Drosophila melanogaster: one gene and its partners. The gene in region 1 interacts genetically with each later gene. Each region holds a gene or a part of one and is shown on either strand. Other genes may lie near its edges.

Region 1 (3,758 bases):
TCGTTTTGCTTTCGATAAGTCACGATGGTTCACGTCTTGGAATTTCTACATCTATATGTAAAAAAAAAAAAAAAAAAATTATCAGAATAGTGAAACAGTACAACCAACTTTAAAGTTGTAATAATTAAAATTGTTTGTAAATGTGGTTTAATATCATGTATACCATTTATTTTATAAATATCCACCAGCTGGTTGGACATCTGGCAACTCCTGTCATTACATGCTTTCAGTGTCGAGCGTTTTCCAGCACTTGCATGTTTACCTTAAGAAGAAGAGTAGAAAAAATCGTTGTGTAGTGGCAAAATAAATAAATACAGATGTGAGTAGCAGTAAATAAAACATACAAAGTGCAAAAAAGGCATAAAAAGTGCATGACCCTCGCATAGTTTAGTTTCCAGCTGGGAAACCTTTTATTTGTCTACGATCGTACATTTATCTGCATGTGAAAACCTCAATGAAACAAAGGGAGAAATTAACGGTGTATTTTCCCAGCCGATTTACGTGGTTATATACATAAATATATGAAGTATCTGTGAGATCTTGAAATCCCTGGTGATAAAGTGTAAATGTTTGTCCTGCATTGCGGTAATCTCTTACAACAAAGTGGTTTGTTTTAAGTGGCCTTCTTTCGAGTTCAGTTTCAATGGCCTTTATCAGCTGTTTGGCACATGGCGTTGGAAGTGCGGGTGTGTGTATGTATGTAAATAGTATGTACAGTACGTACGTGTGTGCAAGGGTGACAGCTGTCGCCCCAGGGAGAGCAATGTAAGTGAGTAATATTTGTTTATGTGAAAGCAAAGTTCAACGGTACCTGCAAACACACAAACACACATCCCCAACATCCGTGCTGATTACGCTGCTGTTTTCACCTACACCGACGTACCACTGTGACAGTGTGTAAGGTTTTGCCTCTTCAGCATGATTCGGCACTATTTCGTCCAGTTTTTGCCTTTATCATTCATTTACCAACAACCAACTCAGCGTCACTTTATGCGGAAATTTAAAGCCGCACTTTGATGAACTAATGTTATTAAAGGGCGTGGATTTTCCAAAGTACGTTTGATTCGCCATAATACTTATATGGGATTTTTGGCGGGGGAAGTCCCTTTTGCCCTTATCTGATTAAACAAAAATATTTGTGTAGTACATATGTAGTGGTTTTAATTTGGTGATTCAGATAAGAAAAACATACGATAAATTTTAAACGTTTTGTAAACATTTCTCTAGAATAAATAATAAAATTAAAGGATAATCTTTGAAAGGGTTTTGTGTCTTAATATTATTAAATGAAAAAAAAAAATATTTCATTATTGTAGTTACTTCATTTAATGCGAAAAATTTTTTTAAGTGTGTATCAGTGATATTAATATTTCTATCGTCATGTGTATAAGGCGTTCATAAATTGAAATTGTTTTGGGAACATGACTTGATACTTCAAAATTTATTGCCTTTTCAATTGAGCTTGGTAACAATGATTAATCGGATATACCGTACAATATTGTGTATATGGCCATTTATGTTGTGAAATTCCCTTAAGACAGAACTCCGATCATGACTAAAATACTATGCAATAAAAAATAGAGAGACGTAATCTCTTTTAAACATATTCCACGATATGCGCATACGAAATTAGCTTAGCTTTTTGTTTTGATTGTATTCAATAGTTCATTTGGCACGGACTTTGAACACATTTTAGCTATCTTTTGAACAAAACGAAATTCCTAACTGCTTGCATGACACGCGTAATTTTTTTGCAAACGCTGTGTAGCCTGAGGCTCCATACAAAAACCTGTTGCTGGTAAACATGGTAAACAATTATGTTTGCCATCGGTTACGATTTGTGAGCATCATCGTTACGGTCCAAAAAACCGCCCACGGGCCGTGCGTTTCATTCATGGCATTATATAGTTTTTATCGCCACAACACGGAGTGTATTCACCTGGAAGGGCCACATAGAACTCAGGCACATGTGTGCACACACACACATATGTAAGCATGATAACGCTCTTTGAAACGCTCCCCCCACTCCGCCACCATCCCCGCGAGAGATAAGTCTCGGTGGGCTCTGTGGCTGGGCAGACGCAGACCACGGCAGTCAGTTGACGGGCTCTCTCCACGGCACACGCATGATCGCCGGAGCGGATTTGCGGAGAAGCAGCTGATCGCGCGCTTTCATTTTCACACGGACTTTCAGTCTTTGTTTGCGAAACTATTGATTATTGAAACTATCTCTACCGAACTAACGAAGCTGTGAAGGATCCCTATCGATCCGAGATTAGTGCCAAAATGCAAACCCAAATGCACTCGCCCATGCAATATGAGACCCACATCTCCGACATGCCCAACCACAAGGGATACCCCTGCCGCCCAGAAGGTTGGTTTTTTTTAAAGTTCTGGATTTGACCTTGGGTCTACAGTTCAATTCGCAACAAGTTTGCCAGATATTTTCGCTACGCGTGCTTTTGGTAAAAAAAAAAGAAACCACTGATCATGACGGTGCGCATTGCGAATCAAGTTCTCTGAAACAGCCCACAATGATTGGCGAAAACGATTCCAGATTGTGCTACAGTGAAGTCACTTGTAGTTGAATGTGAGATGATAAAAATTAATGGAGTGAAACGGCACTTATCCAGGTTGCATTGCTCGATTTGGACGTTTGAATAATTAGAGACATTTGAAATATTATCGCGAAAGAAACTGGTTTGTGTTGACAATGCAAATTCCGGTTGGCAATGTAGTATCCATTCGAAAGAGTGTTCTTGAAATAAACAGATAATTTACCTTAATCTTATCTTAGTTTTCTAATCGAGAGCTTATAAATCTTTAAGCCCAATTTACCAAATTACCAACTCATAAACTTACCAACTTATTCGCATTCAAAAACAAAATAAATGACCGCTTTAATTTCTAGAACGTATTAAAGGTCGGTCGTATCTAACCTTTCGGTTATCTTGGATATCCATAATATAGTACGTCATTTCACACTTGGAGGATTTCTTTAAAGTGCCATTTTTAATTTTTTTGCAAATTCATAACAGATTAGATAATAAAATAGAATAAATAGCCCGCGCTGATTGTCGATCTATTTGCGATGGATGAGGTACGAGGTACAAGGGTTACAGGGCTCAACTGTAGGGCGTGTATTGGTTTTAAGATTAATAATAATTAATAATAATTAATTACTATTTAATATAATTATTAATTATTATTAAATTAATTGTTAAATAATTAAAATTAATTGAATATTTTCTGAAATATGTCCTGGAATTACAATATGATCTATTCCTCGATTTTCCAGAGGCTGAGATGAGCAACACTTCGGAAAGTTGTTCCATCTCATGCGGTGGTCGATTCGGATCGGCGCACTCGACCCTAGATGATCACGATGCTACGGATGATGACATGACCTTCTGCATGTCCAATTACGCCAAGGAGGCCCTGAAGATGATGTACATGATGCGTTCGCACGGCATGCTCACGGACGTGGTACTCGAGGTGAAGAAGGAGCTCTTTCCCGCCCACAAAGTGGTGCTGTCGGCGGCATCGCCCTACTTCAAGGCCATGTTCACGGGGGGACTCAAGGAGTCGGAGATGTCGCGCGTCCAGCTCCAAGGGGTAAGTTGAGCTCAAGCGCGGCCCTTAATTGGTTGGTTTAATGGATGAACAGTTCGTCCGTTTCGGTGTTACAGGTGTGTCCCACGGCCATGTCACGCATCCTCTACTTCATGTACACCGGCCAAATACGTGTGACCGAGGTA
Region 2 (3,758 bases), 6.1 Mb from region 1:
AGAGAAGCAGACCGTTAAAGGTCAAAATGATAGCTGTTATGAAAAAGAGCAAATAAATTATAATATTGATTAGTCTACACAATTAAGTACATTTCTTATAAATAGAAATGTCATTTAAAATTGCTAACACCATAGATTTTAATAGTTAAAGAAGAAAAGATTAACAAATAAGTACGAATCTTTTGACCAATTTCTATAAAGAACCTGTCGATTAAATTTATAGCAGGGACTCATGGCTGATTCCCAAAATTTAGAAGTGCGACCAATTTAATTTATTTTATGATTCATTTATTGTCCCAATCTAATCGAAAAATTCCCCCTGTGGAACATTGGCTGATGTAATTTGCATTCTTCCAAGGCAGGGCCCACTGTATTGTGTACAATGGAGAAATCCCTCTATGGTTACTGATACCTAATACTTTGTTCCCAAATCAATTGATAGATAATGAATGCCGTTTCCACGCGGTTATCTTTCTGGATTCTCGTGGGAGTTGATATTGTTGTTGGGCATCCACTGTACTTATCTACATTTGAATTTGTGTGAATGTGTGTAATTTTCTCAATAAATGGCAAATAAAACAAACCATTAGGTTGGCTATATCTCATTTTTGAATTCCACCCGTCGAAGTTCGCTTATCAGTTTTTATAGCTCATTTACAGTGAAAGTTCGATAAAGTTACTAGCAGGGAATTCGAAGAAATTAAAAATAAAATCACACGAGTATGGCTACTAAAATATATATGAATTTATTATATCTTTGATCTGTCACATTGATCAAAATGAGTAAAAACACATTTTCTTATACGCCGAAAACAAACTGTTTATATTTAATGTCGGAACAGAATTATTAAGTTCAAAACCACCATCCTAAAAAAAAGCCTAGTCAACCTAGTGACCCATCCTTATCTGTGTGTTCGCTTTCATTCCAGTTGACATATTGACTCATCACCATTTGTGCCAGCTGATAAGCAATAATGATCGACTTAGAGGATCTGCCTCGGCTGCAATCCTTGTCCCCGGCGAAGGACATCGAATATACCTACCACCAGACCCAATTGCAGCTGAATCCGAAGAAGAAGGTCACCGTCCGGGTGCCCATTGGACCACCCTCGAAGTTGAGTAAGCTGATTAAGCCCACGGTGGCTTCCACGCCCGCTGTACTGGCCAAGCCAACGCCATCCATCACCCAATCGACGACGCCAGGTAACGCCAAGACCAACATTTGGAAAGGTGGCTTCCATTTTACCAATCTGGTAAGTATTGAAAGGCTTCGGTGTTAATTACTTTATCCAAATGCCAGCACAAATGTTCCCAGTTCAGAACGCAATATATCTATAAATTACCCCCATCAATCTAAATTAATTTTTATGAGCAGGTCTTTTAGATAGATTGATAGTCTTCTAGCTATATTTTGAATTACACGTTCTGAATAGTGTGGCTATCTGTTTTATTGAGCAAGTCTAATACAAATGTATCCATTTGTGATATCAATAGCTAACGGAAGTTATTGTTAAGATATTTGTATTTTTGCATGCATGTAGAATATCAATATCAATATCATGAAAAAAAATTATTTTAAATTAATATTAAGGAAATATAAAACTATATATATCCCTTTATTTTTAATTTTAATACAAATTTCAACTTTGTTATGTAGAACTAGTTAAAAAAATGACTAATGCAAATTAACTGAAAAATTTGCATGGACACGTGTCAAAAGCTTATAAGCTTACACCATATCTACATAAAATTGCAATAGCCACCATGTCTACATAAGTTACTCTTAGGGAAAATATAAATATGTTCTTTATATTCTTAAGATATTCTTTCTAAAAACTAAATCTAGAAATAAAAGGTAGGTAATAAAGATACATTTGTAACCGAAATCTACATTTCTAGCTCTCCTTTAAAAAGCTCTTTCTGTCACTGTTAGTTTAAGCTACATTTAACATTTCTGTTAAAAGCACAATGTATTATGGTGAGACCGCACTTGGCGGCCCCGAAAAAAACCGCAAAAGCACAAAACTCAACAAAATCGTCTGCAAAGAGCCTCAACTGGGCACACTTGATAAAAGCACCGCGCTGGACAGACGTTTTTTGCCTCAAATGTTTTGAGGCCGCAATCGAAAATCGCGACTGATTTCGACGGCGGAGAAATTGCCAAACGCGGCGTAACAAACAAAACACGTTTTCAAGCTCACCACGTAGGTACGGCGGTTGGCGAAAGAGAGTAGCAAAGCGGACGCGACAATAATTTGCCAAATAACAGTGAAAGAAGACGCGTAAAGGTGCGAAGTACACGCCGCTTAAATTGTGTGTGTGTGTGTGTGCGTGTCTGGCTGCGTGTGCTTGTGTGCCGGAACAACAAATGAAAAAGTTTCGGTTGTGCGTTTAAGAACTACAGTTGCGAAATGTTGCATGCCCCACTAAATAAGTGCAACTCATTGTGTGGTGGTGGTACTGTCGGTGGGGGTGGTGGGTTAAAGGCAATCAAAACAACAACGACCAACAGGCTAGCAACAACAGTTATTCAGCAATCGCCCCCTCTCGCTCTCGCGCTCAGTCTCCCTCTCTCGCTCCCTCTCCACCGCTCAGCTGACAGAATGCAATCGAGAAAAACATCGAGTTAGAAAGAATAGGGAACGAAAAGGAACTAGCAATTTGATAAATAATTTGTTGATGCAAAGTGCAGAGTGAATGTTGAAATGCTGCCGTTGCCGGTTATTCTCTGCTCATTCTCGAAGCTTCCATATTTCATTTTTCCTATTTGTTTTGCTCTCCGCGATTCTCAGCAAAAAATTAAATCGTTTTGCATTTAATTAATTGCATTAATTGTGGGCACAGACCGAATTGGAATTGGCAAGAAAAAACAGCAGTTGTATGCTTCAACGTGTGCGTGTCTTTTTTTTTGGTGTGTGAGTCAGAGAGAGACGAGAATCGGGCGATAAAAGAAAACAAAGAAATACAAAGCAATGTGGAGGCAAAACACATGCAAATATTAGGCAGTGTAAAAACAACAAACGAAGCGAAAATATTATTGTTTTAACCCTTGATGGACTTGACAATTTTTTGTACCTTAACGTAGTTAAATAATTTTACAGCTGTCTTGAAAATCTTAACATACAAATGACTTCAAATTCTAATTTGACGTAGGTCCAATATAGGGTTAACAAATAAGTGACGATTTCACCACGTAAAACGGCACCACCACCACACACACTCTCACACAAAAGTGCGTACCAGACGGCGAGAAAGAAGCACCAGGTGGCACATAATCAAATATCAATTGTTATTAATATTTAATGGCACTTGAATGCAAATTGTCTGCAGAAGAGAAAGTTCAAGGACGCAGACAAGCGAAATATATATTTAAAGTTGTTAAATAAATAAAACGCGTGTTTTCCAGCAATTAAAAGTAAAAATCGTAGAAAGTGAAACATAAACAAATAAGGTCTTGCAGAGCAAAAGAAAAGTGAACGGTAAACAATAAACCATTGTGTGTGCTGCAGGGAAGAAGAAGCAGCGAAGAGGAAAAGAAGATCAAGCAACGGCAACAACAACAAGGAGAACATTTACTGCGCCGCAGCTTTTTTACCGTTGTAGTCGGGTCTCATCATCCAAAAAAAATTTGAGGTGAGTGCACTGCAATACAGCCACAATCACACGCACACCCACACAAGAACCCTCTCTTGCACGCACATGCACACGTCATTTCCCTACCCCTCTCTTTCTCTCTCTCGCGCACATCTTTTCATTGA
Region 3 (3,758 bases), on another chromosome or scaffold:
TATTAAAATCGTATGTATTATTTTAGATTCCTTAGGATCCTGGAAACTGGTGTCTACCGGAAGCAGCGCAGCTACTGGGTGCACATGAAGCTGCACTGCGTGGCCCAGAACTTCGTCATCACCGTGGGAATGGAGTACGTGGCTCCTCTGCTCCTCATGCTGATCTGCGCCGACATCCTGGTCGTGGTAATCCTGCTGGTGGAACTGGCCTGGAAGCGCTTTTTCACGCGTCATCTCACCTTTCACCCGTAGTGCTTTAAAATCGCTTTAAGCTGCTGTAACAACTATATTCTATTTGCACCCAGGAGAAAATAAAAACACTTTGCGTTAACTTTTCGCATCGCAAAATTATGCAGGGCGACGCTTTCCTCACTTCCTGTTTTCGCGCCGGAAAATTGCAGCACGGCTCGTTAAACGGAGGGATGGATAAAGGGGTTTGCAAAGGACGTGGTGGCCATGTTTCCATGCGATTTTCGTATTTGCATTAAAAACTTTTCGTGTTTGGCGGTTACTTTTTATACTCCATTTTCCCTTTTGGCAATGATTTTATTCATTCTCTTGGAGCCATTTTATTTGCATTTTCGTGCACGGCCACATTCGAATTGAAACTTTGTTCCCCAATGCCACGTGCGAATGTTAGATAACTGATTGTGAGCCTAATACGGCCTATTAGAAACAGTTAACAGTTGTGTTTTTCGCATTTCCCCGAATTTCACCGGAATCAGTAGTTTCCCTACCGCAGACATCGCATGTTGCCCCGAGATGATTTATGGTATTTTAATGATGGCGCATCGCCAGAGGCGACAAATATGGGAAGGGACGTGTCAAAGCTTTATCGAAATTGATTGTACAATAAATAAGAGTGAGTTGAGTTCGCACAAATATTATTAAATTGGGTGTAGGAGCAAATAAATGGTATTATATGGCTGCTAATCAAATACGCAGTAAATTATATATTTTTTCAAGATTTTACATTTGCCTAAGTCAAGCAAATAGTATTAAGAACTTCGTTCTTAAATGACTCCCAGTCGACCATTAAAATGCAACTGACACAACTGCTTGCCAAACAGCACTCACTGGCATTCCGGAATTCCCAAAGTATTACTATAACAAATTGCCTTAACAATTTGTCAACTCAATCTGGCTGTCAACAGGGCATCGCTTTGGCCATAGTTTATGCCATGAAAGGACTACTTTCCCTTCGCAGGGAGGACAACTTTGGAGTGACTCGAAATTGACAAGCAATTGTGAATTATTTATTATTTACAACATCGAACACGGGTGTCCCTTTTTATCCCTAGCAGCCTTAACCACTTTATTTTGCAATTTGTCAACAACATGTTCTCTTTTTTAAATGCAATGTATAGCCCTGTGGCAAGTAAAAAGTGTTCCATGCTTTGCGGCTGCGGTGTGAAATTGGTTTTGGCGGTTTCCGTACGTGCTAAATGAGCGCGAAACGGATTTAATTTAAACGGAGCTATTGTGGATGGGAAAACGATACCCGAGAAATTTATTATGACCAAACTCTTGGCCGGTACGATTATTAGACTTAAGTGTACGGGAAAAGATAAAAAGGGGGAAGCGGGCTTATGGCCATCACCTCATCAGTTTGATTACCCTTTCTGTTCCCCAGAGCCTGTCATATACGAATTGCCATTGCCAGTGATATCTTAAGATTTATATGGCCCAATGCTGCGAACGTCTTATCTGTAATTTAATCTGCTGGCCACTTAACGATAATGATAATGTCGATTGCAACTGGTCCGGCTGTAATCTAGGCCCGTATTCGACGAGTCCTCAGTAGATTTTCATTGCTCGAGCGGATTGAGTGGCAGCCGGAAATAATTCGAAAGTGTACGTACGGCTGGTGTTTGGTATTCACTCGGGGGAGTAATGTTTATTGCATTTTACGCCGGATTTATGGCCGTAGAAAGTATCTCAGGGTTCCGTTTCAAATGAAATTGTTATAAAATTAGCCAGCATTTCCAGTTGAACGGGTAAATGTGATTTGCATAGCCGAACCGTTTGTCATCGAGTTAAATGACCTCCGTTTGGTTTACTGTGTAACTTTAAAAAAAAAAAAACAAGTGAATTTATCGATACTACTTTTTAAAATCTTTCTACTAGAAAACAGGTGTTTTTGAGCTTAGGAGCACTTTTCGGATTACGCATACGCCACGTGCGCCCGTTGAAAAACAATAAACTTAGAGGGAACGACCATTAGAGCTTACTTGATATTGGGCAGCACAAATTAAAGCTAACAGCGCTATCCGCAATTAAACTGCCTAACTTAAAGTTAAGCGTAATTAAAATAGCTATGACTTATTCAATAACAGGTGCTAATTACGAAAGCTAACACAAACACGAAGTTTGAAATACCCTCCAAAATACAGTTGCTAACTTGATCGTTTTCAATACATTAATCAAGAGCTAGCACATGCGTTCAAAAGTATTGGAAAATCTTTAAGAACCCTTCGTAGTGACACAATATCTTCATAATCTAATCTATACCAGTTCGACTATCGGATTGCTTGGGATCTTTGAATGCCAAAGACCGCTAGCCGATAAGCATTTCCCACCATAAAGAATCACAAGGTTCGCAGATTTTCCCCCATCGAGAAATTCGAACATCTTATCGCTATCTTCGCACTCTTGAGAAGAAGGGGTATTCTAAACCCAATGCGAATGCACTTGCCAACTCGAAAAACGTGACGTTCGCTGACCGACCTCAACTCCCCCGCTTTTGCCGCTCGAATCAAATCGAATCAAATCGAATTGAATTGAATTAAATGATACTATATATGTAATCTGTAATGTGTGCTACCTGCTAGCGATCTACGTACGATCAACCTGCTGATCGGCACTTTGGCACTTGCTGCATCTTTTAATTGTTTTAGTTTTTATGCTGCCGCTGGCAACTCGCGTGATACCTCATACTTGGGCTCCCAGCCGCTTGGCTCCATTGTAGTCGCCGCTTGTTATTGGTTCTCGTTCCGTTGGGAGGGTTCGCACAGGTTCAGTCACTCACCGATCGCCTCGAAGCGCGAATCGTCGTCGCCGTCGTATCCAACAGTTCTCGGAACCTTAGAACTACCAAGCCGAAAAATAGTGGCAAGATGTACGGTTGTACTTTATAGTGAACAAGAGCAGTTGAAGAACCCATTAGTGCTATGAAAAGTTATAAAGTGCAATAGAAAGTTAACTCTATGTAAACATTTTTACATTTGTTGTAAATTCAACCTTTTACATATTATATTACATAAAATGCGAAATTAAATATCAAAGGCTTAAAATTTCTTATGGAAAAAAAATTATTTTATCTATTAATTTACTGATTAAAAAGTTATATTTGAAAACGAAAATCCCTTTAAGCACTCTATGCTTCAGAATTTTTTTTTCAAGATATATGCAAGATCTAGCATTCTCAATTTACCAGTGATATTTCGAAATAAATTTTGAGTATCGGGTATCATATTTTTTGATAGCAAGCAAAAGTAACTGGATAGGAAAGTGCACTGCGAATTGGGTCAACAACTTCATAACTGCGCAAATGGATCAAGTGAATCTCTTGAATGAGTCAGTGGCCAACGAAGTGCAGGACGGCTAAAAAGCATTTGCCTGGTCTCTGAATTAATTAAATTAGTTAATTTGTTATAATTATTTTACAGTTAGCGTGCCTTTTCTTTGTTGGCTAACAGGGCTCGTGCTAACTGTTGATTACATTATTTGAATTGGTTTGGCTTGTTGCAAGGTTAACT

Evidence for each region.
Region 2: of Keap1 (region 1) and cnc, changing one suppresses a phenotype caused by changing the other (phenotypic suppression), as found in Drosophila melanogaster (one study listed by BioGRID).
Region 3: of Keap1 (region 1) and Cln3, changing one suppresses a phenotype caused by changing the other (phenotypic suppression), as found in Drosophila melanogaster (one study listed by BioGRID).

What each region holds. Positions count from the first base shown.
Region 1 is NT_033777.3:17,076,434-17,080,191, reverse strand, and holds the start of Keap1 (Keap1), read left to right. Parts: upstream 1-2,089; 5' UTR 2,090-2,286; coding exon 2,287-2,374; intron 2,375-3,298; coding exon 3,299-3,615; intron 3,616-3,689; coding exon 3,690-3,758.
Region 2 is NT_033777.3:23,220,292-23,224,049, reverse strand, and holds the start of cnc (cap-n-collar), read left to right. Parts: upstream 1-2,088; 5' UTR 2,089-2,204; exon of another isoform or gene 2,205-2,288; intron 2,289-3,153; exon of another isoform or gene 3,154-3,406; 5' UTR 3,407-3,633; intron 3,634-3,758. UniProt on the Drosophila melanogaster protein: Plays a role in posterior cephalic patterning. Probable subunit of a heterodimeric regulatory protein involved in the control of head morphogenesis.
Region 3 is NT_037436.4:17,812,156-17,815,913, reverse strand, and holds the start of Cln3 (Cln3), read left to right. Parts: upstream 1-1,794; 5' UTR 1,795-1,854; intron 1,855-3,022; exon of another isoform or gene 3,023-3,118; intron 3,119-3,758. Other genes in the region: Ir75a (ionotropic receptor 75a), read left to right, coding at 27-252.